4 linked regions of the Tamandua tetradactyla genome follow. The protein of the gene in region 1 interacts with the protein of each later gene in a biochemical or structural test. Links are inferred from orthologs where the notes say so. Each region holds a gene or a part of one and is shown on either strand. Other genes may lie near its edges.

The links.
Region 2: the proteins of CHEK1 (region 1) and MCM2 form a complex in vitro, tested with the Homo sapiens proteins (2 studies listed by BioGRID, with this or other methods). The link is inferred for Tamandua tetradactyla from reciprocal best matches to the Homo sapiens genes CHEK1 and MCM2.
Region 3: of the proteins of CHEK1 (region 1) and ATR, one has a biochemical effect on the other in vitro, tested with the Homo sapiens proteins (7 studies listed by BioGRID, with this or other methods). The link is inferred for Tamandua tetradactyla from reciprocal best matches to the Homo sapiens genes CHEK1 and ATR.
Region 4: of the proteins of CHEK1 (region 1) and CDC25A, one has a biochemical effect on the other in vitro, tested with the Homo sapiens proteins (7 studies listed by BioGRID and IntAct, with this or other methods). The link is inferred for Tamandua tetradactyla from reciprocal best matches to the Homo sapiens genes CHEK1 and CDC25A.

What each region holds. Positions count from the first base shown.
Region 1 is NC_135334.1:11,927,698-11,935,459, forward strand, and holds the start of CHEK1 (serine/threonine-protein kinase Chk1), read right to left. Parts: upstream 3,018-7,762; 5' UTR 2,952-3,017; intron 2,189-2,951; 5' UTR 2,179-2,188; coding exon 2,114-2,178; intron 1,297-2,113; coding exon 1,073-1,296; intron 1-1,072. UniProt on the Homo sapiens protein: Serine/threonine-protein kinase which is required for checkpoint-mediated cell cycle arrest and activation of DNA repair in response to the presence of DNA damage or unreplicated DNA.
Region 2 is NC_135335.1:30,176,863-30,184,524, forward strand, and holds the start of MCM2 (DNA replication licensing factor MCM2), read left to right. Parts: upstream 1-4,647; 5' UTR 4,648-4,769; coding exon 4,770-4,775; intron 4,776-5,607; coding exon 5,608-5,837; intron 5,838-7,662. UniProt on the Homo sapiens protein: Acts as a component of the MCM2-7 complex (MCM complex) which is the replicative helicase essential for 'once per cell cycle' DNA replication initiation and elongation in eukaryotic cells.
Region 3 is NC_135341.1:86,773,864-86,781,340, forward strand, and holds the start of ATR (serine/threonine-protein kinase ATR), read right to left. Parts: upstream 3,009-7,477; 5' UTR 2,887-3,008; coding exon 2,828-2,886; intron 1-2,827. UniProt on the Homo sapiens protein: Serine/threonine protein kinase which activates checkpoint signaling upon genotoxic stresses such as ionizing radiation (IR), ultraviolet light (UV), or DNA replication stalling, thereby acting as a DNA damage sensor.
Region 4 is NC_135341.1:38,163,555-38,170,831, reverse strand, and holds the start of CDC25A (M-phase inducer phosphatase 1), read right to left. Parts: upstream 3,014-7,277; 5' UTR 2,960-3,013; coding exon 2,790-2,959; intron 1,781-2,789; coding exon 1,704-1,780; intron 343-1,703; coding exon 300-342; intron 1-299. UniProt on the Homo sapiens protein: Tyrosine protein phosphatase which functions as a dosage-dependent inducer of mitotic progression. Directly dephosphorylates CDK1 and stimulates its kinase activity. Also dephosphorylates CDK2 in complex with cyclin-E, in vitro.

The sequences.
Region 1 (7,762 bases):
TCTCACTGTACTTTAACAGAAAGAAACTTTAGCAAAAACAGTCTTAAGTTAAGAGTCACGAGTCCACTACCACATGATACTTAATAATTCATTTCCCTATTTGTAATATGGTGAAATATATCAAGGGAAAATTATAGAGAGATTATAAGCTATTGTCCAAATTAAGAATGTAAACCATGCTTAGAAAGCCTCTGCTTACTCTTAGCCTGATTTATTATCCCTCAAATCCTCCCTCAATATCTTAATGATAGAACAATATCTTCCCCACTCCTGAAATCTAACTGCCAGTACAGAAGCCTGGGAAAACCTAAGCCAATTTCACTAAAAATTTAACAATAGACTTAAAGTACATACCACCTCTCCTATCCTTCAGGAACAAAGTTTTATTCACAAATGTTCTTTTTTATCATTTTATATTTTGATCTCCCTCATTAACTTCTGATTTAGTTTACTCTCAACTCTCTCCCAAGATACATATTAGAAATTACAGTAATCAAGTATTAATACAGTTGCTTTGAATAGGTCCACAGAATACATTTTATGTAATTATGTGCTCTGTAGTAATAATCCTTTGAATCAACATAGAACATATAAGAACCAATTCAGAATTTACTTAACATATATTTTTTAATCCTAGAAGGTTCTCAGTTATATTACTTAATAAGTATGTTAAGAAGAAATCTAATAATATGCTATTATTTTGGATCTTGGGATGTATGCAATGATTTCATGAAACCAGAATGCTACAAAGAAAAAAAACTGGGTAGGCAATAAGACATTGCATTTATGAAGTATATAATTTTTAAACTCTATAAAACGGTAATCCCAATCAAAATCACAAATATGATGTGCAAAAAAAATTTCTTTCCAGTGACTTTATATACACTTATATTTTAAACCAAAGTCAAAAAAAAAACAGGCTAATTTACTCCAATTTCAAGGTTACATAAGCACTTCTGAAAGAATGACCAAATATCAGACCCAAAATTTAAACACAAATTTTGAACTTTGTTTAGCAGAATAATTATCTTGAGTTTTTAGAAGATTGATTTGGAACACTATTTTACCATACCTATTCTATCAAAAAGTTCTCCCCCACTGCAATACTCCAGAAATAGATACTGGATGTTGCCTTCTCTCCTGTGACCATAGAATTTCACTACATTCTCATGATTTAACATTTTATTGATACAGATTTCTTTCTTAATATTTTCTGGACAGTCTATAGCACGCTTCATGTCTACAATCTTCACTGCAACTGCTTCTTCAGTTCTTCTATTCACAGCAAGTTGAACTCTTAAAAAGGAAAAGAAAGAGTTATAATATTCCAAACATTTGTATTATAGCCCTTTTAAAACCTCAAAAGATTAAACATGACTCAATCCAAAACTATTTTATCTTCATTATTTTCTTTACCAAGGAGAAACCAAGGAAAAAGTTTCTGCCATGCTCTCAACAGATATCATTCCTTTCTGAAATGTGAAGTACTATAAGTCATTATACTATACAGGCAAGTCATTTAATAAACATTTGATAAAATAAATTGTGATAACAGCACTTCTAGGCCACATCACCTATATACATCTTTTATCTGTTTAATTTAATCACATATCTAACACTTATTAATCCCATACTATATACCTCTGGCAAACTATTCTAACCACCTATTGGGTAGGTTCTATTATTGCCATCTAATAGAGGAGGAAAAAGAGGCACAAAAAGACATTCAGAAGTTTGCCTAAGATTACGCTACCATGACCAGTATGTGATAAAGGACTACTTGACACCAGGCAGTCTGTCTCCACAGTCTGCTTATTTGCTCGTTTAACCATTATGTTTACAACCCAAGAAGGAACGTGTGAAAGGGGAAACAATGACTTCAGAAGTCTCTTCCAACTCTTAAAGGAACTTTTTTTAAATGGGGAAAAAAAAAAACACTAATCCTTACAAAAGATTTACAACATCAGTTTCCAAAATTACTGGCTTTTAAATGTAAAGGTGTGTTTTCTAAACACGACTGTATTATTGTAAACAACTCCAAGACAAGGAATATGTACTCAAGACAACAGACAGAAATACTAAGCAGGTGTGCAGGTAGGGTAAAAGGACTCACTCTCCGTAGGCACCTTCTCCCAGAGTTTGCACCAAATCCCAGTCTTCCACAAAGGGAACTGCCATGACTCCAAGGCTGTAAAAGGTAGGAAAGATGGAAAAAGTGTGAGCTTCAATCACCTGTAAAGTCACTGAGCTCTCACCTGGCCATGATTCCCCAACTATAAATAACAACTCTTAGTTTTCCCTTACATCTCATCCAAGTTTTATCTAAGTCTTTAAACTACAATCAAATTTTCCAAATTTAGGCACTTTGTTGGGTAAATCACAACCCCACCCCACCGCCATTTCCACGCAAACTGAAAGCTGAAGCCCCGCCTTTCTCGGATCCTAAAGGAAATTGAATAGAGGAGCTGGGGAACCGGGCAAAAAATCCCTTATGGTGAAGAGATTGGGGAAGGGAGTAAGAGAGGTGAATACTGAGGAAGAGAGTAAGAACGGTAGATTTGTGTCCGCGTAAAGAACAACTCTGACTACTTCAGCCCCACCTCCCCCCTTGCTCAGTACCAATCCCACCCTCACTAAGTCCTAAGGGCCGGGAGGGGCTCGGGGCGGGGTCAAACCGTTCGAGGAAGCGGAAGGAAAGAGTGGGACACCGACGGGCGGCGCCCAAACCTCTGGGGTTCCCAATCAGCAGAGGAACAGTCTCTCATGTTCCCCTCTACTATGAGGACCGCCCCCCAACTGGTACCACCCTCCCAAACGACTAGTCCGCGGGAGTTGTCTCCGGTCCCCCTCGCTCTTCACCGATAACTGTCTCTTACTGTGCCTCTCTTCATTAATCTAGACCCCGAGCTTCTCCATCCTCCTTATCCACCCTATCAGCCACCCCTCCTCACCAGGTTGTCCTTTAGCCGCCACCACAGGAATCTGAATGCAACGCTTTTCCCGCCAAAACTTGTAGCGTCACACTGTCGTAAACGCGCGCGCCCCTTGCCGTAGAGCAGGGAAACGCAGATTACAGTCTCTGCGGTTATGAAGATTGACCGGTGCCGAGAAGTTTTCCTTCCCAACTCTAGCCGGTTGCACCTCGATTCCTTTAGGGTCGGGGAAGATCTTAGCTGAGGAGATTTAAAGACCACTGGCTGGATCAGAGTGAAATGGGTGGCCGGTGTGGGAACCTCGGCTGGGGCGGGGCCGGTGGGCCGAAGCGCCTCCCGAAAAAATACTCCGTGCTTGCAGGCAGCGCCCTGACCCCGTGGGACCTGGAAAGGCTGACCGAACTTGCGCGACCCTACAGGCCGTGACCTCTGAGCATCCTACCTGGCTGCCCCACGAGATGGTGAGGACCGTGTGCTACTAAGCAATGCACAGCGCTTTGTAGACGTTCAAGGGCGGTACCGATAATTCTGGAGCCCCGAATCTTGACAGCTGTTGAAAATTGATATTGTGAAGAATGAAACGTATTTTTGCGGAGTGGGAGAAAAGCATCAGAAATGGCCACACAGGAGTTGGGGGCAAGGGTCTGGAGGAAGAAAGTTATTCTTTTGTCATTTGAAGGGATGTCAGGAAAACCAGTGTTCTTGTGTATTGTCAGTGAACAGGTCCCAAACCATACCCGCGTTAGTCCAACTACTTTGAGGCAAAAATGTCTGCATAGCTTAGTACTTTGCGTTCTTAATGTGTAAGAACTAGGCATGTAGAAGCCGAAAAGCTGTTGCACCAATGGTCTAAAAAATGATCATGGTAATAAATGTACAACTATGTGATAATATTGTGAGCTATTGATTGTACAGCATGTTTGGAATGTTTGTATGTTAAGAATTAAAATTAAAAAAAAAAAGCTGTTGGGCGAGCCACGGTGGCTCAGCAGGCAAGCATGCTTGCCTGCCATGCCAGAGGACCCAGGTTCGATTCCCGGTGCCTGCCCATGTACAAATAAAAATAAATTAAAAAAAAAAAAAGCTGTTGCACCATATTTTACAACGCAAATGAAAAGGGTAGAGTAACCATTTTAAGTAGGAAAGTATATTCTGGGCAAAGGGACTTGCTTGAGAAGCAAAACCAATCTGAAACTGAAGTAGGTGCTTACCCTGCCCAGCCCACACAGTAAGCTAGACTAGGAACTGGAGGCACAAATATCATCGTCGCCATTAAATTCTCAAGTCAAGTATTTGGCCCAAATTCTCAAATTGGGCCAAATACTCTTGGCATAACTAGCTATTGACTGTGATACTGTTAATAAGGTAAAATATATTACATCAGAAGTACACACATCTTAAAAAAAGTGCACACATCTATTTGAAAGATCAAAAGTCAAGAACAGAACACTTTATAATGCTTATGTATGAAGTGTTAACCATGATATCACAGTTTGGGCTTTATGTAATAAGTTTTTCCAGTTTATTTTCCCCCTTTTTTCTAGTTTCCTCACTGAACTGCAAACAGAATATTATGAGAGAGAAGGACATGCACAGCTCCTCTGAGTGTGAATGAAATTACACTATCTTTTTAGCCTGAAAAAAAAAGAGGAATACAGATTTCAGGCAAGAATACCAGTTAAAGATAGCATATGAAAGAATGAATATACACAATACCCTCTGCTGCCTTCTGAAACCTTACTAAAATATTACTAAAGAGTAAATTTTTAAAAGACAATAACCCACAAGAATGAAGAGTATGAGAAAAAAAATTTTATAAAGTGGAAAGCTTTTAAATGCAAGATAACTTACATGAAAACTTAATCACTCAAAGCCAGCAGTGAGAGAACAGAAAAGCAACTCTATACCACAGAATTTCCAAAAGCTCAAGAATTGTTGATACCAAATAATTCAGAATGTAGAGGTAAAGGTATGGCTAAAAACTAGGTTGAAAGATTGTAAATAAAGCAAATAAATCCCTAGATTTTGTTCTTCCTCTTGTACCCAAGTAACTACCCCTCCCCAAAGCTGATATAAAAAAGAGGGTAAATGGGTGGCATCTGACCTGGGAAGCATCAAGCACCAAGGTCTTACTGAAAACAGGAGGATTATGTTTAGACTCTTGGCCTTTTCTCACCCTATTCCTACAAAGCTAGTAGCCTGGCTTATATCCTTGAGTTAGGAGATAGAGCTTTCTCAAGGGAACCTTACCGGTGTAAGAGAAAAGATCTGGATCCTATACCAGGGATCCCCATTCTAACAGCACAGCCAGATCACAGGAGGGTGAAGCCTACATTCAAAACAAACACCTTCCAATCAGCTTTTAGAGTTCCACTCTTAAAAAAGAACAAACAGCCAAGAGTTTGAGAAAATTTTTAATATTAAGGATGTCAAAAATATTCAAACAAAGCTCTTCAATATTAGAAATATGAGAGCAGAAAAGAAGAAAACTAAATAGATTAGAAAATTAAGGAAATCTCCCAGAAAGAATAGAATTTGGAAAACAGCAAATATAAAAATATTAAGTTGATGATGATTGAACAATAATATAGCTTTCACAATGTGACTCTGATTGTGAAAACCTTGTGTCTGATGCTCCTTTTATCTACCATATCAACAGAAGAGTAGAACATATGGAATAAAAATAAATAATAGGGGGAACCAATGTTAAAATAAATTTAGTTTGAAATGCTCGTGATAAATGAAAGCGAGAGGTAAGGGTTATGGTATGTATAATCTTTTTTTTTTTCTCTTTTTTATTCCTTTTTCTGTTGTCTTTTTTATTTCTTTTTCTAAATCAATGCAAATGTTCTAAGAAATGATGAATATGCAACTATGTAATGATATTAAGAATTACTGATTACATATGTAGAATGTAGTGATATCTTAATGTTTTGTTTGTTGTTAATTTTTTTAATTAATAAAAAAAATATATTAGGAGACTAATCCAGAAAATCCAAATAACTGTTTTTGGGGGTAGGAGGTGGGGGGATTGGAATTCAGAAATAACTCAAGAAAATTTCTCAGAACTGAAGAGTCTGCCTTCTCACAATGAAAAGTCCAAAGTACTAAGCACAATAGATGACCTGCTCTAAGACGCATTATTGGGGAAACTTCAAATCATTACAAAGAGAAAATCCTAAGAGATCTAGGTTGGGTGTGGGGAGGAATGGACACAGACAAAAAAACTAAGAGTGGGAATAGCATTGCATTTCTCTAACATTTGGAAGATATAGAAAACAGTGGACCAATGCCTTCAAAACATTCTAAGGGAAAAATTATTTTCAACCTAAAATTCTATACCCAACTAATCAAGCATGAGAAGAGGTAAGCAAGAGCTCAAAATACTTTTCTCTACACACTTTCTCAGGAAGGTATTTAGAGGTGATAAATTTATGGGATTAACACACACATATAGAGGCAGTTCAACAAAAATTAGAAAGAAAAAAAAAAAGACCAGTATTATTAAAGGAATACACCAAGACAAGAGGTATGCAGCAAACCTAGGGTAAATGAATCCAAATAGAAATATAGCAAAACATGAAACATCTTTAAGAATGAATGCCTAATGTATTTGAACTATTAAAAGAGGGTTGGCCTCAACAACAAAAGAACAAACAATCCAATTATAAAATGGGCTAACGATATGAATAGGCATTTTTCTGAAGAGAAAATACAGATGGCTCAAAAGCACCTGAAGAGATGCTCATTTTCACTGGCTAAAATAGAAATGCAGATCAAGACTACATACAATGAGATACCACCTCACACCTCTAAGAATGGCTGCTATTAAAGAGACAGGAAACTATAAATGTTGGAGAGGATGTGGAGAAATTGGGACACTTATGCACTGCTGGTGGGAATGTATAATGGTGCAGCCACTATGGAAGACTGTTTGGTGGTTCCTTAGGAAACTAAACATCGAGTTGCCCTATGACCCAGCAATAGCACTACTTGGTATATACCAGAAGAGCTGAAAGCAATGACACAGATATTTGCACACTGATGTTCATAGCAGCATTATTGGAGCACAATCACCAAAATATGGAATCAAACCAAATGCACACCAACAAATGAGTGGATCAACAAAATATGGTGTATACATACGATGGAATATGCAGCAGTAAGACAAAATGACGTCCTGAAGCACATGACAAAATGGATGAGCGAGGACATAATGCTGAGTGAAATTAGCCAGATACAAAAGGACAGATACTGTTTGATTCCACTTTTATGACCAGCATAAAGGTATAATCAGAGGCTTATAATACAGAATATAGGGGACTTAGAGATACATAGAAGCTAGAGATGGGTTAACCGTCAGCTAGTGAGGTTGAATTCCAATGTAAGTGAATAGATAGGAGCAAAGGTGATTCTCTAGTGGGTCTAGAAGTATTATTATCATACTGAAGATGAACAAGATTGAAAAGGGTTGTATAGACCTATGTGTCCCACTGACTCCCACTAGAAACATGAACGAGTTTTCGTAAGAATTAAAGGATTCGATTCTTGTATAAATAATGTTCAAGTCCAGGGTACAGGGGGGAAACTGCTATTGCATGCTATTGAGCTATGTTCAAAAGCAAACCATCATGGAGGTAGCTGAAAGATGCATTGACAGAGAAGTAGAATAGCAAACTGTTGTGTATACATGATGGAATATTGTGTGGCTACAGAGAAGAGCAAAGTCATGAGGCATGCAAAGAGGAGAATGAACTTTGGGGACATTATTTAGTGAAAAATAAGCCAGAAACAAAAGAACAAGTATGTATGGTCTCTCTTAGAAAATA
Region 2 (7,662 bases), on another chromosome or scaffold:
AAGTAACAAAAGTCGAATGAGCTGTTGTTTAAGCCACAATGACATTTGTTCTTCACTGAAGTCATCCAGAGGCTGGATGGGTTTGGCAGTTCAGCAGAGTTTTCGAGGATTCAGCTCAAGTGATTGCCCAGCTATGCCATTATGTCAGTTTGAAAGTATTTATGTACCCCAGAAAAGCCATGTTTTAATCCTGATTAAATCTTGTGAAGGCAGCCATTTCTTTTAATCCTAATTCAATACTGTGGGGTAAAACCTTTTGATTGGATTGTCTCTGTGGCGATGTGGCACCTCCAATTGTGGGTGTGACCTTTTGATTCGATGGAGCTGTGACTCCACCCATTCGAGGCGGGTCTTGAATAGTTTACTGGAATCCTTTAAAAGAGGAAACATTTTGGAGAGAGTCAGAAATGACAGAGCAGAGCCAACACAGAGGCTGACAGTTGGAGAACAGAGACATGATGTTTGGAGATGCTTGGAGCCCAGCAGATGTTACCATGAGATGTTAAACAAGCTGGAATCTGGAGAGAGCCAAGGGAAGCCAAGAGATGAAAGCCTGCCCCAGAGAAGCAAAGTGAGGAACCCCCACAGGAACAGAGGCTGAGCGCAGTGGAGCCCAGGAGCAAAGGACCAGCAAATGCTACCCATGTGCCTTTTCAGCTGACAGAGTGTTCCAGACCCACTGGCCTTTCTTGAGTGAAGGTACCCTCTTGTTGGGGCCTTAATTTGGACACATTCATTTCCTTATAACTGTAAACTTGTAACTTATTAAATTCATTTTTAAAAGCTGTGCTGGTTTGAAAGGATGCATGTTCCCTAGAAAAGCCATGTTTTAATCTAAATCCCATTTCATAAAGGCAGAATAATCCCTATTCAACACTGTATGTTTGAAACTGTAATCAGATCATCTCCCTGGAGATGTGATTTAATCAAGAGTGGTTGTTAGGCTGGATTAGGGGATGACATGTCTCCACCCATTTGAGTGGGTCTTGATAAGTTTCTGGAGTCCTATAAAAGAGGAAACATTTTGGAAAATGAAAAAGATTCAGAGCGAGCAGAATGACATAGCCACGAGAAGCAGAGTCCACCAGCCAGCGACCTTTGGAGATGAAGAAGGAAAATGCCTCCCAGAGAGCTTCATGAAACAGGAAGCCAGGAGAAGTTAGCAGATGATGCTGTGTTCGCCATGTGCCCTTCCAGCTGAGAGAGAAGCCTGACTGTGTTTGCCATGTGCCTTCTCACTTGAGAAACCCTGAACTTCATCAGCCTTCTTGAACCAAGGTATCTTTCCTTGGATGCCTTTGATTGCACATTTCTACAGACTTGTTTTAATTGGGACATTTTCTCGGCTTTAGAACTGTAAACTAGCATCTGATTAAATTCCCCCTTTTAAATACCATTCTGTTTCTGATATATTGCATTCCAGCAGCTAGCAAACTAGAACAAAAGCCATCCATTTCTGGTATATTGTATTCCAGCTGCTTGCAAACTAATACACCCATCTTCAGTGTATTGGTGACTCTCTGCTCATTAGTGACAGGAGGGCTGTACAGGTGTCAGCATATATCTTCACATTAGAGCAGCTGAACCCTGAGAAAGAAGCAAGTGGGGTAGGCATAGGAAATTGTCTCTTCGTTTGGCAGGGGTTATCTACAGTGGGTTCATATTGCAGTGCTGGCAATGTGACCTAAGTGGGAGCTGGCTGGAGGTTTCTGTAAATGTTTTCCCCCTCAGTGGAAAAGGCTGTAATAAGGAGGAAGACTTTCTGACGTGAGAGGCTTAGGCCAACCCTAATTTATCCCCCAGAGCTGCCCAAGTAAAATCAGATTCTGGTGACTAGGAAGAAGGGATGGCATTCAGATAAGGGTGGAGGAGATTCCTGGTTTTGCACCACACCCTTCTGCTGCCTTCCATCCTAGAAGAGGTAAAGTTAAGCACATAACCAGCCAGTTAGATGCTACATTGCCCAGCCTCCCTCACTGTTAGAGAGGGTCATTGGCTAAATACTCACAAATGGATCAGGAGTGGAAATAATGTAATCACTTGTTGTTCTTATTAAAGAAAATTGAGTTTAAAGAAAATTGAGTGTCCTGGTCTTCAGGCCTTTCCCTTTTCAGAGCTGGAATGCTGATGTGCCTGCAGCAATGTGAATGAGACATGAGAATGGTGTGACAATGGGTTGCTGAATGAAGTGCAGGAGAGCCACCCACCTACCAGGTCCATCTCCATCTGACTTGATACAGGAGAATGAAATAGACATCTCTTATCTCCAAAACCACTATACTTTTGGTCCTCTCAGAATAGCATAACTAATTCTGTAGGCAGTCAACAGTCTCAGCCATAACCCCATCCCCAACTGTCCCCACTCTGGCTTAGGCAGCATTCTGTCTATATGAATGAAGACAACACTAGCCTCTAGGCTCCTCCACTACCCATTCATATCCCATTGCCAGCCAAAGTGATTCTTCTTAAATGCAATTTTAACCCTGCCACACGCCTGCCAAATTTTTCTGATAACTTTCTGATACCTGTAGAATTAAAGTCCTAGCCCTTTAGCCATGACCTGGCCTCTGTGCAATTGTCATGTCATGAGCTGCACCATGGAGAGGCCTCATGGCAAGGAAACAAGGGAGGCCCCACCCAATGGCCAGTGTGGAGCGGAGGCCCTCACTTCAATACCCTACAGGGAAATGAATCCTGTCATGTGGGTGAGCTAGGAAGTGAATCCTCCCCCAGCTGAGCCTTCAGATGAGACAGCAGCTCCAGGCAGTATCTTGACTGTAGCCTGGTGAGAAACATCAAGTCAGAGGTACACAGTTAAGTCATACCCAGATCCCCAATCCACGGAATCTTGGGATAACAAATGTTAATTGTCTTGAGCTGCTAAATTTGGGGATAATCTGTTACACAGCAATAGATAACTAAAACAATCCCATCCACTATCTCTTCTCTAGTTTTTCCCTCAGCATTCCTTTGGCAATTCCTTCCCAGCATCCTTTGTTGGTGTCCGTCAAGGTTTAAAGCTGTAGATACCCCAGAAAAATATACACTTAAATCTAGTCCAATCCTCCGGGTGTGAAGCCATTGTAAAAGTAGGGTCTTTTGATCAGGCTATTTCAGTTAAGGTGTGGCCCACTTCATTCAGGATGGATCTTAATCCTACTACTGGAGTCCTTTATAAATGGAATTAATGCAGAGAGAGAAAGAGAAAGCCATAGAAGCAACAAGCTGAAATCAACAAAACATAGAAGAGAAGGGAGAGACCAGCAGATGCCACCATATGCCTTGCCGTGGTTCAGCCAAGGATTCCTGGCAACTGGTCTCCAGGAAGAAAGCATTGACTTGATGATGGTTTGATTTGGGCACTTTCTTGGCCTCAAAATCTGTAAACTAATAGATTCTTATCATTTAAGCCAACCCATTTCATGGTATCTGCTTTAAGCAGCCTAGGAAATGAAAGCAGTATCTATTAACGGTTGGGGCTTCTTGAAGAAGGCCCAGTCTTAGGCCTTCTTCTCTCCTCACTGCACTCATTCTCTGGATTATGCAATCAGTCCCAAGCCCTCTATAGCTTTATCCCGTCTCCTGATTCCCAGACCTGAATATCCAGTGGCTTCCACTCAGAACCCATGTGGAACACAGCCAGAAAACAAATTAATCTGCTGCCCGCATCCCCAACCTCACTTCCCCAATTAGCTTGTCTTCCTCCCGTGTTCCCCATCTCAGAGATTGAGCCTCATCCTCCTAGTCTCCTAGGCCAGAATCCTGGTGCGATCTTGGATCTCTCCCTTTGGCTGTCCTTTAGCATCTTTTAAACACCTCTTAGATGTTTCCTGTCCTCACCATGTCTCCTGCCCCTACCCTGGGCCTAGGTCCCATCTAGAGGAGCTTGTACACAGCACAGAGCACCTGGCCAAGGCCGCTGAAATCCAAGCCCTGCCTCTGCTCACCAAGTGAAGTGCCTTAGCCAAGAGTTGCCTGTAACTGGAGGAATAAACTGGAGCAGCTTCCTCCCTCATTTGCCACCCTTCCGTCTGGTCGTGTCCATCTCCACCCTGTATTAGCCTGAGGGGGGTTTCCTAAAGCTCGCTTCTGTCTCACCTTGCTCTTTTGTGGCTCTCCATTGCCCTCAGGATAAGATTCACATTCCCTAGGCAACACTTACTTTTGTAAATTGTGCGCTCTAATCTCAAATCTTGTCTCTTCCTGAGCATCCCAAGTTTTCACGCTGTCTCAGGCTTATGTCTCTGCACATAACATTCTTTTCTACTTGGAACATCCTTCCTGCATCTTTACTCCCTTTGTGGAGGACAGATCTACTAGATGCCGCTTCCTACAATGCCAGGGATCTTTTCTGTGCTTTAAATACTGGGCCTTAGAGCTCTCAGAGAAGTTGTCCTCTACTAAAACAGTCAGTAGGCCATATAAACAAGCTCTGTTGAAGGGATCAGCCACTCAGACCCCAAGTGCCTCTTCTATAAAACAGCCAGAACTTGACCAAGGCTCCAGTTCACCCACATCCAAAACCAGGGGCTAAACCGCTGCGAGTGGGCACACTTGGCTGCGCCCTCTGGAGGCGGGGCCCGCAGGCCGGCGTGGGCGGAGCCGGATTCGCTGGCCCGCCCCTCGCGCGCGCCGGCGGGACGGAAGTCGGCGTCACGACGCTGTGTTCATTACTCCCGACGCTTCCCGGGCTCGGGTGGGTCACGTGAGTCACTTTTCGCGCGAAATTCGGCGGCTGCCTGAGGAGCGGGAAGGAGCACGGCGTCGCGATGGCGGTGAGCTGGCCCGGGCGCGGCGGCGTGGGGTGGGGCGGGCACTCCCCGCGCAGGCTGCACGTTTGTACGGGCTGTGCCGGGCGGAGTGTAGACGTGCGTGGCTTGTCTAGTCCTCAGGCGCGCGCCCTGCTCCCGCCCCGCTTCACGGCCCCGGCGAGTTCCGGTGGTCCGGGCAGAGCTTGGGAACCCGCTTCTCTCTTTTCCTCCCCTTTTCCGCGGTGTGAAAAGCAAGGGGGCCCCGCAACTGTCCTTTTCCTTCGCAGCAATCTAGGCTCCCGAAGCCGAGCCCGGCTGGCTCGTGTCCTATCCTTTACTCCGCCTGCGCATGCTTACTGGGCGCCATCTCCCTGCCTGGTCTTGGGCAGACGCCAGACTAATTGTGTTGTACTGTTTTATTGCCCGTCCCCGTCAGTCTGTGAATTCCAGACCTGGTATATTTGGGTTGCTGTTGTAGCCTGGCACTTTGTGGGGGCCCAAATGGGTCGGATGCATGCTTAAAAAAGGTGAAAACAGACTATACCAGGGCAAATAAACAAATGGCATAGCACGAGTGATTTCTCAGGTAAGCAGTATCTGAGCTGGGTCCTGGATGTTGAGAAGCCAGTGGCTTCTTGAGATCAGGGGAGAGCCCTGCAGACAGAGGGAATAGGAAGTACCAAGGTCCTAAGACTGGCAGGGGGCTTGGTGTGTTTGAGGACAGGGTCATCAGGACTGGTGAAGGGAGAGATTGGTTGGAGATCAGATGGGAGGGGAAGGTCACCCCTTAAGACAGAAGGGAGGCTGTGTCAGCCCTCATCTCACCAGTTTTTAACAGCAGCAGCTTTTCTTGCAGGAGTCATCTGAATCCTTCACAGTGGCATCCAGCCCAGCCCAGCGTCGGAGAAATGCTGATCCTCTTACCTCCAGCCCTGGCCGAAGCTCCCGTCGCACAGATGCCCTGACTTCCAGCCCTGGCCGGGACCTTCCTCCGTTTGAAGACGAGTCCGAGGGGTTACTAGGCACAGAGGGGCCCCTGGAAGAAGAAGAGGATGGAGAGGAGCTTATCGGAGATGGCATGGAGAGGTATCTGAGACCTTGGACTCAACAGATTGCTTTGTTTGCAGAAAGCCTATTGTGTGCCTGGCAACCTTTCTAGCATCAATTAAAATCCTTCTTTGCCCTTGCGCACAGCTCGATCTAGGGTCTAGGGGGAAACTAGACAGATTCATGGAACCCCAAAAGAGGTCCATTTAACTCAGAAAGGCTAGACCCTAAGGCCTCAGTAAGCCCCAACTCCATGAGGTCATGGGGAATGCAGAAGGGCCACAGCAGGAGGTGCCAATTTAGTAAGTGGGCAGCCACGTGTTTCTCTGCTGCTTTTCAAAGAAGCGGTGTGATGTGGGTCCAGTTAATCAAGACTTAGCTTTGTTCTAGCAAACGTTTATTGGGCCTACTCTACCAAGATGTGAGTTATATACCTTCACATTTATTATCTCATATAACCCTCATAAGAATAAACATGTATTAAAGGTCATTGAGACTTAATATTAAGACATGGTGGAGTAAGCGCTGCAAGTGAGAAGGTTAGATCTCTACTCCTAGCCTGTATTCACTGCTTGGATTTGGTAGATACTTTAGTATCTTTAGAATTGTGTGGTTGCTCAGGAGCCTCATGTGAATTCTCCTTTTGTGCCTATCTTTACCCTCACTTTGGGGGTCCCAAACTTAGTGGATGTGAGACTGCTATACGGGCCATGGCACAAAAGGTGAATGCTACTCTTTATGAGCCATTTAAGGGATTTTCATAGGTACCTTGGCCATATAGGGTTTTTCCTTTAAAGACTTCCCGTAGAACCTTACACAAGTATGTGTTCAGCCCTAGCCAGCCTATAGGAAGGAATAAAGACTCTTTGGAGAAATCTCCTGGACCTAGGGACAGGATATACAATATGGGTGGCTTCCCTGTTGTAGGCTATGGAGTTTTCAGGCAGGATGCCCCTCCCCAGCCTTCTCTCTCCTGGCCTTTCTCTTTGTTTCTCTTTCCATGTTTCATGGAGAGTGAGAGACATTGTAGGGAGCCTCAGGATAGAGGCATCTAAGCTGGCTGCCGTTGAGTTAGGTTTTGGGTGTGTGTGTGTTTGAAACAACTTTATTGAGGTGTAATATAAAATTCACCGTTGTAAATGTTGAGTTCCATGCTAAGTTGTGCGACCACCACCACAATCCAGTTAAAACATTTTTCCATCATCCCAATGAAATCCCTGTGCCTTTTTTACAGTTAATCCCCCACCCCTACTCTAGGCAACCACTAATCTACTTTCTGTCCCATAGAGATTTGCTAGTTTGGCACATTTCATATAAATAGAATCATATAATAATGTGGTCTTTTGTGACTGGCTTCTTTCACTTAGTGTAATTTTCAAGGTTCATCATTATTTAGTAGCGTGTGTTGGTACTTCATTTCTTTTTATATATTTATTTTTGGGGGTGGATATACCATATTTAGTTTATCCATTGATCAGTTGATGGCCATTGGGGTTGTTTCTGTTTTCTTTTTTTTTTTTTTAACTGTTAATGAATAATGGTGCTATGGCTGTTTGCCTTTGAGTCTTCCTCTGAACATGTGTTTTCATTCCTCTTGGCTATATACCTCTTGGCTATATCCCTGGATCAGACGGTAACTCCGTTTAAGCTTTTGAGGAACTGCCGGACTGTTTTCCAAAGAAGCTGCACCATTTAGCAATCCCATAAGCAGTATATGAGGGCTCCGGTCTTCAACACCCTTTCCTAACACTTGTTATTTTCTTTTTGATTCTAACCTCCTGGTGGGTATGAAGTGAAGTTTCATACCACTTTTGATTTGCATTTCCCTAGTGACTAATGATGTTGAGTGCCCTTTCATTTGCTT
Region 3 (7,477 bases), on another chromosome or scaffold:
TTAATTATATGTGTAGCTTGCATTATATTTCTATCAGATGGTACCGATCTAGACATCTGGAAAATCTGTTAGAACCCTGATTCTTCAACAAATAAATTCCAAAGGAAGAGAGCAGAAACCTATAACTAATACTTAAGAGCCATACCAACCAATTACAATGTATGATCCTAAATTGAACTCTGCTTCAAAAGTAAAATTGGGAAAATCTAAACAGCCTAGATATTTGATATTATTGAGGAACTATTATTCTGTAGGTGTGATAATGATATTGTGACTATGTTTAAGTCTTTATCCTCTAAAGCCAAATATTGATATTTATGGATGAAATGATATCTGGAATTTGCTCCAAAGTAATCTGAGTTGCAAATAGGAGTATGATGAATTGATTATTATTGGGTGATGGGTAGAAGGGGAATTAATACATACACTATTTTTTCTCCTTTAAATGTTTGAAATTCTCCACAATGAAAGTTTTAAAAAGTTAAGAAAAAACACATATATTGAGTTTTAAAAATATATATTAGGAACAGATATAATAGTTAAGCTAAGGAATGGTACCCTACAAGCCTAAATGAATTCAACTTGAGCTCCATTCTTTAATTTAAACCAACACAGAACGTAGTAGAAAATCTGTTTGCTATCACATAGTATAAGGAAACATATAGTCATCTAAGTCTTGAACAAACCATTTTGAGCACCTAACATGTGCCAGGCAACACAGTAGGAGCCTCTAGTGGGAAGATGAAAAACACAGTGGGGTAGAATGTTAAGTGGGGTAGAGAGAACTGTGAGTCCATTCACCGAGAGTTAATACAGGACAAAACACAGGTCTGGGGAGAAAAAGGAATCCAGTTTTAAAAATATTGAGTCTGATTTGGGGGAACTAATTGGAGATGTCCAAGAGATAGTTGGAATTCAGTTCTAGTCCACAAGAAATGTCTATTTTAGAGATATAGACTTGTTGTGCCAGCAAGTGGGCTAAAACATATTGTCTATGATATTTCATTTAATATTCACAAGCAACAAGATAAGGATACTACTGTCTAGGAGAAGACTAATACTACTCACAGAGATTATATACCTAGCCTAAAGTCACACAGCTAGTAATAGCAAAGGCTTGAAGTCATTGCAATAAAACAGACATGATAATTTAAAAGTATTAGGCAATTATTCATAAGTCAGTTTTTCTATCCTTTCTTTTGGAATGGCTACAAATAAATAAAATGAAAGGTAACACATTCTGTTGAAGAAACAGACAAATGCAAATCCAAGATACCATTATTTGTATTAATATATCTTATGGAGGAAGAGAGAAAAGGAAAGTTTAACCAACTAATTCTACATTAAAGCAAGATGGGGAAAATATACTGAGCTTCATAAATAGTAAGTCTGAAAAATGAAATCTGCACAACTTCCTAAAGAAGCACTTTTATGAATCTTCTTTTAGTCAAGAAGTTACTTTACAAAATGTTAACTCAAAATATACTTGCAACATTGTTTAACACAAGGCATACTTGCAACATTCACCAAAAGTGGAAACAATTTCACACACAGAAAACAGGGTGATGCAGTTGGCACAAGAATGATGTAGGTTTCTTCATCTGTCCTCTAATTTATGTAACTGAGAAAGACTAAATTTCTTTGCAAGGTAGACAAGTGGAGATAAACACGACTGCACTGCAAAAAGAAAGGGAATTAGTTATTCCACCGGTTTAATGTTAGTTTCCACTTTGTATGGAAAGGTTTCAAACACCTAAAGAAATTGGGAAGAAATTATTATCCCAACTCATCTGGGGTAGTAGCACCAGCCTTCTTACTGGCAGGGTAAACACAGGAACAAAACCCGCTGCCTGGGCTCTTCAGGCTTATTGTTTGAGCTGGGAAGCCTGCGAAACGTGTCCCAGGGGGACTGCGGTTACCAGCACCTCTCCCCTCCACCGCTAAGGTGCCGGTGGACTTGACTTTACTGCAGCGCTAACAGGAAACAGAAATTTGCAAATGAAATAATGTTAAATTTACTCCAAATTTATGCAACACTGAAAGTTTAGATTTGCGATTGCTCTGGAAATAATGTTAAATTTACTCCGAATTTATGCAACACTGAAAGCTTAGATTTGCGATTGCTCTGGAAATAATGTTAAATTTACTCCAAATTTATGCAACACTGAAAGTTTAGATTTGCGATTGCTCTGGCCAATCCGTCGGATTTCTTCAGATACCAGGCATTTCCACGGCCTGAGTAAAATAATGGCGTGGGGGACCGGAGGGGGATACGAAGGGGCTCACATCTTCTAGAATGGCTTACGACTTCACTCTGAAGAAAGGAACTACGCTGTTAACAAGTGACCGTCCTTGCAGAAAATGAGAGCCGCTGATGCTTCTTCCAAAGGCAGTTCTGGAACAAGACGGTAACATACTAACTTCTCCAGGAGCGAACCTAAGAGTAGATATTGGGGAAGGTGTTGGGCAAGGCCCTTTAACTAAGGAAAGAGGTTTTCGGAAAGCGACCGGGTTTCAGAAGAGTGACCAGAAGCGACCACGGGGGCCGCTCCTCCGGCGGCGGCGGACACACCCCCGTGGGGCCGGGCGCGTGCGGGCAGCCGCCTTCAGTTCCTCAGGCCGGCTTCCGCGGACGGCGTGGACACACGGCGTCCTCTGTCCGGCCTCTGAGGGCGAGGCGCCCAGCTCGGTCACCGAACGTCTCCACAAAGGCCGAAGCGGGTGCTCAGAGGGCCGGGGCAGGGCCGCCGCCAGAGAGGGGAACCACGTGAGGCGCCGGCCCGCCGGGGAGGACACGGGAACCCAAAGCGGCCAAGCCTGGTCCTACCTAGCCAGCTCCCGCAGGGCCGGGATCATGGAAGCCAACTCCAGGCCGGGCTCGCCCATGCTGAAGCCGCGCGTTACTCGTCCACGACGCCGACTCGGGGACCTGGCATCACCACCGCTACCTTTAGCGGGAAGACGCGACGGTGCCTCGCGGGGCCCAAAACTCCTCCCCGAAGCTGCTGCGGATGTAGGACTCGGGGGGGAGGGGCGGGGAGGGCGGGGCCGGCGGCGGGCGAGCGGGTCTCGCGATAGTTCGCGCTTAGCCCGGCGCTGCGCGGGTCTGCGCGTCCGAGCGTCTGGGCTCCGAATTGCGGGTCGCTGCCCCGTGGGCTGGGAGGCCCCGCGGCCCCGGAGGCCGGGGGCTTGGCGGTTCCGACCCAGACGCCCTCGCCGACCTGCCCCCAGGTTTTAGGGGTTCCTCATTTCTCCACTCCCTTGACGACCTTTCTCAGGGAATCGGGGGAAAGGCGGGCTCCTCCCGCTCCTCTCTATACTTCAGCAGGTTTTTTCCATTTAAAGTTACGTCTATTGAGGATTCTCACAACCTTTAATTTTTAAAATTGGGGTTGGTTTGTGTTTATATATCTCCTCAAACCTTAGCCGTATTATTGTGTCGCCGTTCTGGGCCTCGGATACCTATGACTTAACTTTTAAAGTAAATCACTGGGTTTTGGCTCTCGACACTTTTCCCTCAGCCCGGCTTGGTCATCTGAGAGAGGACCGTTACCAGAGGCTGTTTCCACGGCAAAACCGTGTATTCCACCAGGCGGAGCCGTGCAGCGTGCTCGCTTGTGTTCTCTGGCCTGGGGATACATGTCGGTACAGCAGCGAACAAATGGAAGGAGAGAGGGACGACCGGGTGTGCGCCTGCCTCGGGGCCTTGGCGTCGCGGCCCATGCCCGGGTCCAGGCGCCGGTCCCTCGCCCCTCCCCCCGGTCTGCGTCGGCGTCGCCAGAGCCCCGCCCCCTGCCGGCCGGTGCGCGCGCTCACGCTCGCTCCCGCGGACCTGCGGGGTTTTTCTTCAGGGCGCCCAGAACCAAGTGATATATTGCATATGATTTTATTGACCGTCTCCTGCAATTAGAATATAAGCTCCTTGAAAACAGAGTTTTGTCTGTTTTGTTCACTGCTAGGTCCCCAGGACCTAAAACGGTGTCTGGCACGTAGCCGGTGTTCAACAAGGGTTTGTTGAATGAGTATTTGAGTGCTGTGGTGGAAAGAACATAGGATTAGGAGTTGGAAGCCCTGGACAACTCCTCATTCCACCTGCTAGAAACTCTATGGCTATAGAGATGAAACTCTATTTCATCTCTTTGCACTCCACTTTATTTCACCCATAAATAATCTAACTCATGAGACTGCAGTAAAAATTAAAGTCGTGTAGTGGAATACCATTTCTTGAATGAATTATGTTGTACTTGGATAGATGAATTCTGAAAATAATGTGAGTGAAAAAACAAATTGCAAAGGACTACATAACAGTATTATATCACTCCTGTACACTGTTTAAAGCGCAAAATAATTCCTTGCTCAGGGTATGTATACATACGTATATAACAAAAGTATAGAAACATTGTTGGGAAGGATACATCAACTTCATAGTGGTATTTCTAGAAAGGGAGATAATGAAATGTTGAGACAAACTATTTGTGAAGGTTTTAACAGACTCTTCAGTAAATGTGGCAAATTTAACATTATATTTGTTATGTTATATTATTCTTTGTATGGTTAGGATGTATACATTTTTTGGATGTATTAGTTTGTAAGTTGCCGGAATGTGATATACCAGAATTGGAATGGTTTTTAGAAAGGGGAATTTAATAAGTTACAAGTTTATAGTTCTAAACCTGTAAAAATGCCCAAGCAAGACATCCTGGGAAAGATAACCCTAATTCAAGGAAGGCCGATGGGTCAGGAACGCCTCTGTCAGGTGAGAAGTCATGTGGCTGCATCTGCTGGTCCCCTGCTCCTGGGCTCCGTTGCTTTCAGCCTCTGTTCCTGTGAGGGCTCCTCACTTTGCTTCTCTGGGGCTGGCTTTCATCTCTTGGCTTCCCTTGGCTCTCTCCAGGTTCTGGCTTGCTAACATCTCATGGCGTCGTCTGCTGGGCTCCAAGCATCTCCAAACACCCATGTCTCTGTTCCCCAAGTGTCTGTATCTGTGTCAGCTCTGCTCTGAGCTCTCTACAAAATGTTTCCCCTTTTAAAGGACTCCAGTAATCAAGACCCACCTTGAATGGGCAGAGTCACATCTCCATCTAAAAAAAGGTCACACCCACAGTTGGGCGTGACACATCTTTGTGGGGGTAATTTAATCAAAATTTTCCATTTACAAAAGTGAATCAGGATTAAAAGTAACAGCCACTCCCACAAGATAAGAATCAGGATTAAAACATGGTTTTTCTGGGGTACATAATAGATTCTAACTGGCACAAATATATTTTTAAAAGCTTAAGTTAGATAACATATAAAACACTTTATCAACTAAAAAGTAATAAATATTAGCTATTTTAGATATGAAGAAAGATTATAAAAATTGCTATTTTATCTGAAAGGCAATAGCTGAATAGCATTATAATTCTAAAAGACACTATGAATCCCCGAATGTTGAAGTAATAGAATAATAATAATAGGAAATTAAATAATCCAATTTAATTCAAAAAGTGATTTTTCTGAAAAGTACTGCCTGGATCCTACTGTGATACAAAGAAGAGGACGATAAAGTCAATCTCAAAGTAATGTACAATCTAGTAAGAATGCAAAAAGTTAAAAGTAAAGCAAAAATTGATAAATGCATAAGAGATATAAACAGGTTACAATGAAATATATAGAAGAGGAAAAGGGTATGTCTTCTCCAATGGAGAGAGGAGGTGGAATGCAAAGGGGCTCCAGGAAAAGGTAAAACCATATCTGAGATAGGACTTGAAGGATGTGTAGGATTTGGAGAGACAGTGACCGAGGAAGAGTAATATAGTCTAATTAGAGGCAGCAATGTGAATAAAAAGTAAAGAGCATTATTAGGGAGAGATGAATGGTTCAGTTTGGCTGGTGCTAGCAGTGTCCCAGATCAGGAAGTTCCAGCCAGCCGTGTGTGTAGACCTGTCTCCACTGATGAGTAAACTAGGGCGGGAAACCACCAGGTGGCACTGCAACCCAGCTGAGACCAAGATGAACTTGTCCTTGGCTGGATGCCTAAACTGGAGGGCTAGTTGTGCAGGTTCTGTCATAATGTGTCTATGATAGAGTCTAAGATTTTGCTATTTAATGTACATCATAAAGTATACACTAAAATAGAAATCTTTTAAAAATACCAGAAGTTTTACAAGTTCCTCTCTATACCTGAATGGGTCTCCATGTTCACCTCCTGCGTACACACACACACGCATCACTGTGGAGTTGTTCTACACAGCAGACAAAACAACCTTTTCAAAACCCAGATATAATCATGCCATTTGCCTGCTTCATTAGCTTGAATAAGTATTGAGTATTGTCAGGCATAGATTAATGGGTAAGAAAGGAACACGTCTGTTGTTTTTCATTAGAAAAAGCCTCAAATAATAGACCAACATAGCCACAAGCCAACATTCTTAAATTAATAAAGTAGAATAAATGATTAAACACAACATAACTGCACTAATCCATTTGGCCTGTTTAGTAGAAATACTGCAAAAATCTAATATGAAAAACATTTAGTTCTAATAAAGGAACGCATATAGTGTTTGAGAACTTTAAAGTTAAGTCATTTTTCTTCCTATCTTTGTGGCAATTTCACATCTACTGAGGATATATTATAAAACTGGAACTCCACTGTATTTGGAGGCAATTCAGAAATAATAACATGGACTACTTCCCTTGAGTTGGGATATTTATATCTTAGTTGTGAATTATTGTCATTTTCCTTGTCAAGTATGACCCTAAGATTATATCAGATTTATGGGAATAATAAGGATTATTTGCATTTGCAATCAATATTTTTGCTTTTCTCAAAATACTTTCAGCTGTTTCATCTGATGCTATACTCCTAGTGACTGTGATATACATGAAAATTAAGGGGAGAGGTTACAGAGTATGGGTTTTCAAACTTCAGCATGCTTAGGAATTGCCTGGAAGGCTTGTTAAAACAGATTCCTGAGTCTCAAGTCAAGAGATTCTCATTCATTAGATCTGAAAAGGAATTCAATAATTTGCATTTTTAACAAGCTCCTAAGTAATGCTGACACTGCTAGTCCATGGACCACATTTTGAGTTAGAACTGTTTTAGAACAAGAGTTCTTATCCTTGGCTGCACATTGAAATTACCTGGGGAGTTTTAGAAAGTACGTGGATCCCACTCCCAGGGATTCTTATTTAATTGGTCTAGGGTAAGGCAGTTAGATGTATTTGTATACATTTCCCTGGTTATATTAGTATGTCTATTAATAATTTGAATTTTTCTGTAAATTACCTATTTAAAACTTTACCATTTTTTATTCGGTTTTTGTCTTTTTATTGATACATAGGAGCATTTTCATATAACTGATAGTAACCCTGTCCTGATTTATATTCTGAGAACATTTTTCTTGGCTCTTGCCATATAGAAATTTTTATTGTATCACATTTGTCTGTCTTGTCCTGTGTGATTTCTGGGTTTTGAGTCTGTTTATGAAAGTTTTCC
Region 4 (7,277 bases), on another chromosome or scaffold:
AAACAAACCCAGATCTCTTAAAACACAAATGTTTTCAAGGCTATGACGACATAGAGTGAAGGGGTTTGGGTGAGACCTGATCAGAATACCAGAATTACAAGCTAAAATAAAGGAGGGATGGTTCTGTAAATTGTTGACATAAATCACTCCTCAAAAGATACCAGACTGTTTATAGGATCTGGAAATCTGATAGGGACTGCTCAATCCAGGGCTCCAGGCCAGAGAGTGAGAATTTCATTTACAAATTAAAAAAAAAACTTTTTCCTAAGCACAAACATTTAAAAGCAGTGAATACATACTTTTCTTTACTGTCCAAGGGCCCAGGAGAATCCAGACAGAAGCCTGTGGGAAATTAAAAAAAAAAAAGTGCTTGTATTTGCCATCAATCTCTGCAACTCAAGTTACTCTATAAACATTCCTCATTCCTTTGACAGGAGCTTCCATTTACCTGCTGAATCTCACTTTTCCACTTCAAATATTGTCTCTTATGCTTTCAAAGTGTTTAAATCCCAGGAAATCATACATGAAACACTATTTTATCATTAAAATAAATAAATCTGGTTTCTTAATTCAGTCAACAAAAACCCTCAAACTGTACTTTTGCCAGAATTGAAGCCCAGTTTATTTGACTGGAGTTTATCTACTGATTCTCTTCTACTTGCAATTACCATGATGGGAAATAGGAGTTGAGGAGGTGAGTTAAACTAATTCACATCATGACTGCTTAGTATTCAGATAAAGGTGACCCAGGTAAATTTCCCTGAGTTCCAACCATAGAAAAAATAATTGGCAGATTTCTCTGGATATTTTTTTTATTTTGAATATTTTATCTTGTCAGATCGCATGCATAAATTTGGTGTGGAAAATATAAATCATAAGTCATATGACACATAAGGCATGTATTTCAACAGAATGGCACTGAGGAGGATGTCCATCTCCCCAAGGACAGTAGGGCAAAGAAGACCCTACTCATGTTACCATGTGCCAGTCTCAGAATGGCCAAAACCCAACAGTGCCTGCTTAGTGCACACCTCTGTCCCTGCTGACATCTAAGTCTCATAGGAAAACTAGGTGTCAACTCCTGATTGGTATTCTTGCTTGCCCCACTGCCACAAATAATTCTTTCCCCAGTTCTCAAGAACCCTACATTTAAAGACATTTGCTCTTGAGTCCTCTAACCTAAAGCTGTGCCCCAAATGTTCTTGTCTGTGCAGATATAGATAAATCCCAGAGTAACACCAAACGTATTACTGGCACCTTTCCTCCAGAGCAAACTCACTCCATTTCATTTTACTTCCAATAATTTGATACCACATTTGGGGGGGGGGCGGGGATCATGGACAGGCTCTGGGAATCGAACCTGGATCTCTGGCATGGCAGGTGAGAATTCTGACACTGAGCTACAGTTGCACTGCCCAATCCCACATTTTAATCAATGAGATTTTCTAAATGTCACTTAGAGTGGTACAGTGCTCATATTATTCATCTTTGAAGACCCAGCCACACCTATTGCTTGCAAACACTTAAACTTGTTTTCTCTCATTATGAACTGACACAGGGGTTCCTTCAAATTGTTCTTAATACCATTTGCGAAGTCCCTTGGTAAAAGATCATTGTTTCAGCAAACCCCCTGTGTTGCTCACCATCTATCTCCCCACACCCCCAAGCATACACACGATGCTTGCTGAAGGCTGAAAGAATACCTGAATCTGTTGACTCGGAGGAGCCCATTCTCTGCAGACTGCTACTGTTCTTCACCTCCACAGGTTGTTCATACTCACTGCAACCAAGATAAAATCATTCTACATGAACTATTTCTAGGAATTAATTAAAGATTAAATACAAGGGGCAGGCCACAAGATTAGCAAATGCCCAGACTGTCACGAACCACCATTACTTGCATGACACCACATGGATCCTATTTTTCCACGCAGAGCACCAAGTTTGCATTTGAGCATAAAAGGAACGTAGAAAGCTGTGGGTGCATATGGACCACACCGTATGATATGACTACAACAAACGCTGGAATAGTTCCTGAAATGAGAACATGCGTTCTAAGCACTGTACTAGGAGTAGGGATTAAAAAGGAATAGGACAGAGTTCTTGCTTTTCAAAGACTGCGAAGCTAACAAGACGTGTATTTAGACAGAAAGAAGGGTGCCCAAGACTGGAGAAAAAGCAGCTTCACCAGAAACACTGTTGGGCCCTTTTTTTTTGGTCTATAAGGAAAATCCCGGGAGTTTTCAGTGAAGAGGTTGGGTAAAAGCCTGGCCTTGGAAAGCAAAGGAGTGACCATCAAGAATGCGCATGGGACAAGAACTGCGATGATGTTGCACCAACTCCAGGAAAGAAAATGCCAGGTCCCTTTGTTGGGAAGGAACAAAGCTCACAGGAAACTAAGATCCTGCGAGGTTCAGCAAACGGTGGAAGTGGCGCCCAGGAGGGCATGCTTTTGCCCCTTCGGGAAAGGTTCCAAAGAGCTTTCTGAAATAGGGAGGTAAGAGAAGCGGGGTACAGGGTAACCAAAAAGAGGTAGCGAAGGCCGGGGCTTCCCCACCCCTTACCGGGCCTGGCTCAGGGCTCAGGGGATCCCTGGAGGGTCCGAACGGCTTCTCCCGCCCAACATTCCGCCCGTGGGGAGAGTGCACATGGCGGGACCGGAGCTAGGCCCTGCCGCCCCGGAGCGGCGAACCCAGGAGGGCTGATCGCGCCTCTCTTCCAGCTAATCTCCCCGAGGGCCGCCCGACAGGCCCGCAGCCTAGGGTGCTGCTCGCTGGTCCCCTGCTCACCTGCCCAGCCCCTGCAGTTGGTCCATGGTGACCGTCAGGTTGGTGACAGGCGACAGCCCTCCGGCGGCAGGCGTACCGAAGAGCGCCTTCACTACAGGCGGAGGTGCTGGAGGGGAGCTGCAGGCGAAGAGCAGACGGCGACGGTGCGGGGGCTCCGGGCCCAGTTCCATGGCGGCGCCCAGACTCCCCAGGGCTCCCTTTTCCTCCGCCTCCACCGCGCCCGCCTCGCCCCGCCGGCACCGGCCTCCGCCGCGCGACCCGCCGCCGGCACTTGTGGGTCAAACACAAACACGACCCTACGGTTCAGGGAGGCCGCCAGCCGCCGGCAAGCGGCGCGGCCGGGCGGGTGTCTGGACCAGGCAGGTGCCAGCTACAAGCACGGGTGTCCCCAACCTTACTCCGCGAGGCCGGCGGGCGGGCGGGCGCCGGCAATCTTAAGATTAAATTCAAACAAACGCTGCGTGTCGGAAAGGGAGGGCGAGAGAGAGCCGCGAGGCAACGGCCTGGGCTCACACACTACTCTTTTTTCCTCACACCCTTGCCCAACCCGGAGTCACTAAACAAGAAGCAGACCTTCACCTCCTACCGGGACTGCCACAGAGGAGGATGCCTTTCGCAGTAGTAGCTGCTCTCTGGGGTCTGCCGCTGCCCCGCCTCCCTTTCCTAGTTGGCGCCAAACGGTATCCACCAATCAGTAAATAACTTCTCCTTCTTGCTCTCGATTGGCAGCTAGGTTGGACCAATGAAAGGGGAGGAAGGAAGCAGGTCGCGGGGCTTTGCGAGGTCACCCGCTCTCAGAAAGGGGCGGGGCCCAGAGGAGACCGGGGCGGGTTGAAACGAGAGGGGGAGCAAAGGTCAATGAAAACTCCCAACAGGTTCTGCGAGGCGCCGGCCGAGTTGAATGCTGGGAAGTGTAGTTCTTCCTGGCCCCTCCGGCCCAACAGCGTCCTTTCACGGCCCGCGCGGCAGTCCTGTATCTTTTAACCTCGTTAGGCCGCGTCGACCTTGTCCCTGGCCCCCGCCCCGCACCCCACGCCCCGGGGGAATGTAGAGGCTAGAGAAATCAGACCAGAGCTTCTGGAGGTCTGGCCGACTAGGCAAGACCCAGCCTTACTCGACCTCTTTCCTTTCCTCAGGCGCCGCTGTGTCCCAGCTTTATAACAAGGGAGGGAATTGAGTGACTGAACTAAAATTGATAGAGCAACTCTAAAACAGGCCTCATTCCCTCACTTTCTGGTGCTAGGAACCCCCTCAACCACCATGATTTTGCAGATGTCAGCTTCATCTGAAAGGTTTTCGACCACACTGGGCTGCAGGCCTCAGCATTATAAGCCTTCTGTGTTCTCTTAGAGTAATTTTTTTATCCTTAGCCCTTTTTTACCAAATGAGAGCTGGTAAATAGCAATACTAGTAAAAGTAATAATAGCTAGTGCTTATATAGTGCTTATTGTGTACCAGGTACTGTTCCAATGCTTTTCCTCTATTCATTTCGACTTTAAAACAACTCTGTGAGATAGGAATCATTATGCCACTTTATAGGTGACCGTATTTATTTTTATGGCCGCTACACCAGCGGTGGTACCTAGAATGGTTTTAATAAATGTGCATTAATCAAGTGCGGAAGAACTTGTCTTGAGACAGCATTTTTAGAGCACATCTGCTTATTTGGGATTGCATATTTGTGTAGGGGATTTTAATGTCTGGTACAGATGATGCCCATTACCTCTGCTCAAGAACTACAATTAAAGATTTATTTTAAAAAACTTTTCAACTTTTGCAAATAATGCAAAATCATGATTGAATTAGAAAATAAGCATAATTTAAAAAATCATCTGTAATCTTACCACTTCTAAAGAAAGCTGTCAACATTTTCAACTTTTTTTGTGTGTGTACATTCACTGTAAATGTACAACTGGTATTTATTTCGTGGTCAAATACAGGAGTGAAAGGCCCTCCTTGCCTCCTTCCCCTTCTCAGGTAAGCTCTGCCCTGACTGATAGATTCTTCTGTTATCTCCACCCTCTAGGCTCCTTGTTCCATTCCTGAAGAGCACTCCTCACACCTTTACATTTGTTTCTATGATTATTTTATTGGGTTGAGTACTCCCAATTGATTAGAAACTCAGTAGGGGCAGAGACCCTACCTTTCCTTTTCCCTACTGTAGTATCTGCAGCACCTCAGGCCATGCCTGCATCAGGGGACCCCTCAGTACATGCTGATTAAGTGCTACAAAGACAAAGTGTGAGTGCTTTGAGGGTGTCTGAGAGGGAATCTGATCTAGTCTGATGTGTCAGAGAATCCCTGAGGAATTGATCAGAAGGATAAGTCTTCATGGGGGAAAGAACTTTCTGAGCAGAGGAGCAGGCCCTATGTAAAGGCCCTGAGGCTGTAAGGAGCCCCTTGAGTGTGGCTTTGGCAGAGAGCAAGTGGAAGAGAGGAAGTTGGAAAAGTGGGCAAGATTTATAGGCCACATTTTGGAATTTGGACATTGCCCCAAGAGCAATGGGAAAAAGATCAAAAGGTTTGCATTTACATTTTAAAAAGATAACCCTGGGAGTGGAGAATGGATTAAAAAAGGGCAAAGGTAGAGTGTGGAAAGGATTCCCAACAGTCCTTGTAAAATAGAATGGTAACTTGAACTGGGGAGGGGTTAATGCCTTCATGCGGGTGATATGAGAGATGGACCACAATTGTGTCTTGAACCACTAAGCCCAGCAGGGCTCCAGACTCCTTATTCAATCAGGGGTTGCTCCCTGTCATACCATAGCAGCTTGGCCTTTTAATCTGCATTGTATATTGCAATGCCGTGTATAGTTTATTTGAAATAGGTATTCCCAGTGCTAAACAGACAAACAAACAAAAAGCACTTTTTCCATCAATTTATAAGACTTATTTTCTGTAGAGAAATAAACATCCTTTCTCTGATTCAGTATTTTACACATGCCCATTCTTCTTTCACACAACTCTGCTGGTAGCAAGATTGGAATTTTTCTGCATGGTTACGGTTCAGCATGAGCCTCCTTGGAGGCTAGAAGGTTTAAAATCAGCACCAAGAAGTCAAGTCAGAACTAACAGAGCTTTCCAAAGTGAAATGAGCAATCCAGGAGGCTGTATGTCCACTGTCCTAGATGTTGCAGAGTGAGGAGGGATACCTACAGTTAGGTTTTCTCGAATATTGATCCTACATCAGAATCATCTGGGGAACTTTAGCTTTTATGCAATTATTTATTTATTGAGTAAGTAATCCATTTACAATGTACAAATCCAGGTGATACCAAACAAAGGCCTAGGGTAAAATGTCTCCCTCTCCTCCCTGTCCTCAGCCCTGTCTCCTCCCCATAGGTCAGCGCTGCAGTCAATTTTTTTTTATCCCTTAGAGCCTGTGCTTATGCTAACAAGTATAGGTACATATTCTCCACACAGTTTATTTTTACATGCATAATAGCTTATTATAAACTATCCTGAACCTCACTCTTTTTTACTTTGTGTATCTTGGGTATAGTTCAATATCAGCAGGTAGAGTTCTTTTTTTAATGACTACCAATTTGGGGTGTGTGTGTGTGGAGGGCTTTTTCTGAAATATAGATCCTCCGGTGTCTCAGATATTTTGATTTGGCCTGATGTGGGTCCCTGGAATCCATATGTTCAGAAAGCTGTCTGAATTGTTCTGAAACAGATTTGAACAGATTTGAACCACTGACCTACATGAGCTTTAAGGTCATCAAACCCCAGAGAGTTTAAAAAAAAAAAAAAAAAGCAACCCAGAGATTACATGGTTCTAAAACATAATTAGAATTTGCCCTGGGTTATGCTGAATAACGAGCTTTGTCAGATTATATTTGGATCACAGGCTACATCCTATCTCATGTCTAAGTGTTTGCTCTAGGATAGCCCACATTCCTTCATGAGTGCTTCCTAGACATCTCACCTACCCCCAGTACTTCTGTACCTTTCTCCCTCATCCCAGAGAACTCCCAAGTCTTTATACTCAATTGAAGTCTCCCTCCTCAACCCCAGCTCCTTCTCTGAATCCACCCAGAATGACCCACTGGCAACTCAAGCTCTACTTGTTGTAAATCGATTTCTCTTTCCTTCCAAACCCATTATCCTTCACTGTCCCCATGAGAGGATATAGTACCTCCATCTACCCTTCCTCTTCCTCATTGTATCAGCAGACTCCTAAGTCTTCCATTGAGCTCTAAAACCCTAGTGTTCTTTCTAAATGCAAATCTGATCTCCTCCTCCACCCTCTGTTTCAAGGACTCTCCGTTGCTTAAAGCAGGGTCTTTGGAGCCATAGCCAGAGCACACAAGCAACTCACATCTCAAAAGATTCTCAACAAATAAATTACTCATGCTACATGTAATATACTATTTCCTGTTTTATTGTTTCACTTTAAAAAAAAAACACGAGCCACTAAAATTAATGTTATGACCCACTAGTGAGTCATGACCCACAAATTGAAAAGCACTGGCTAGCAGGTTAAAG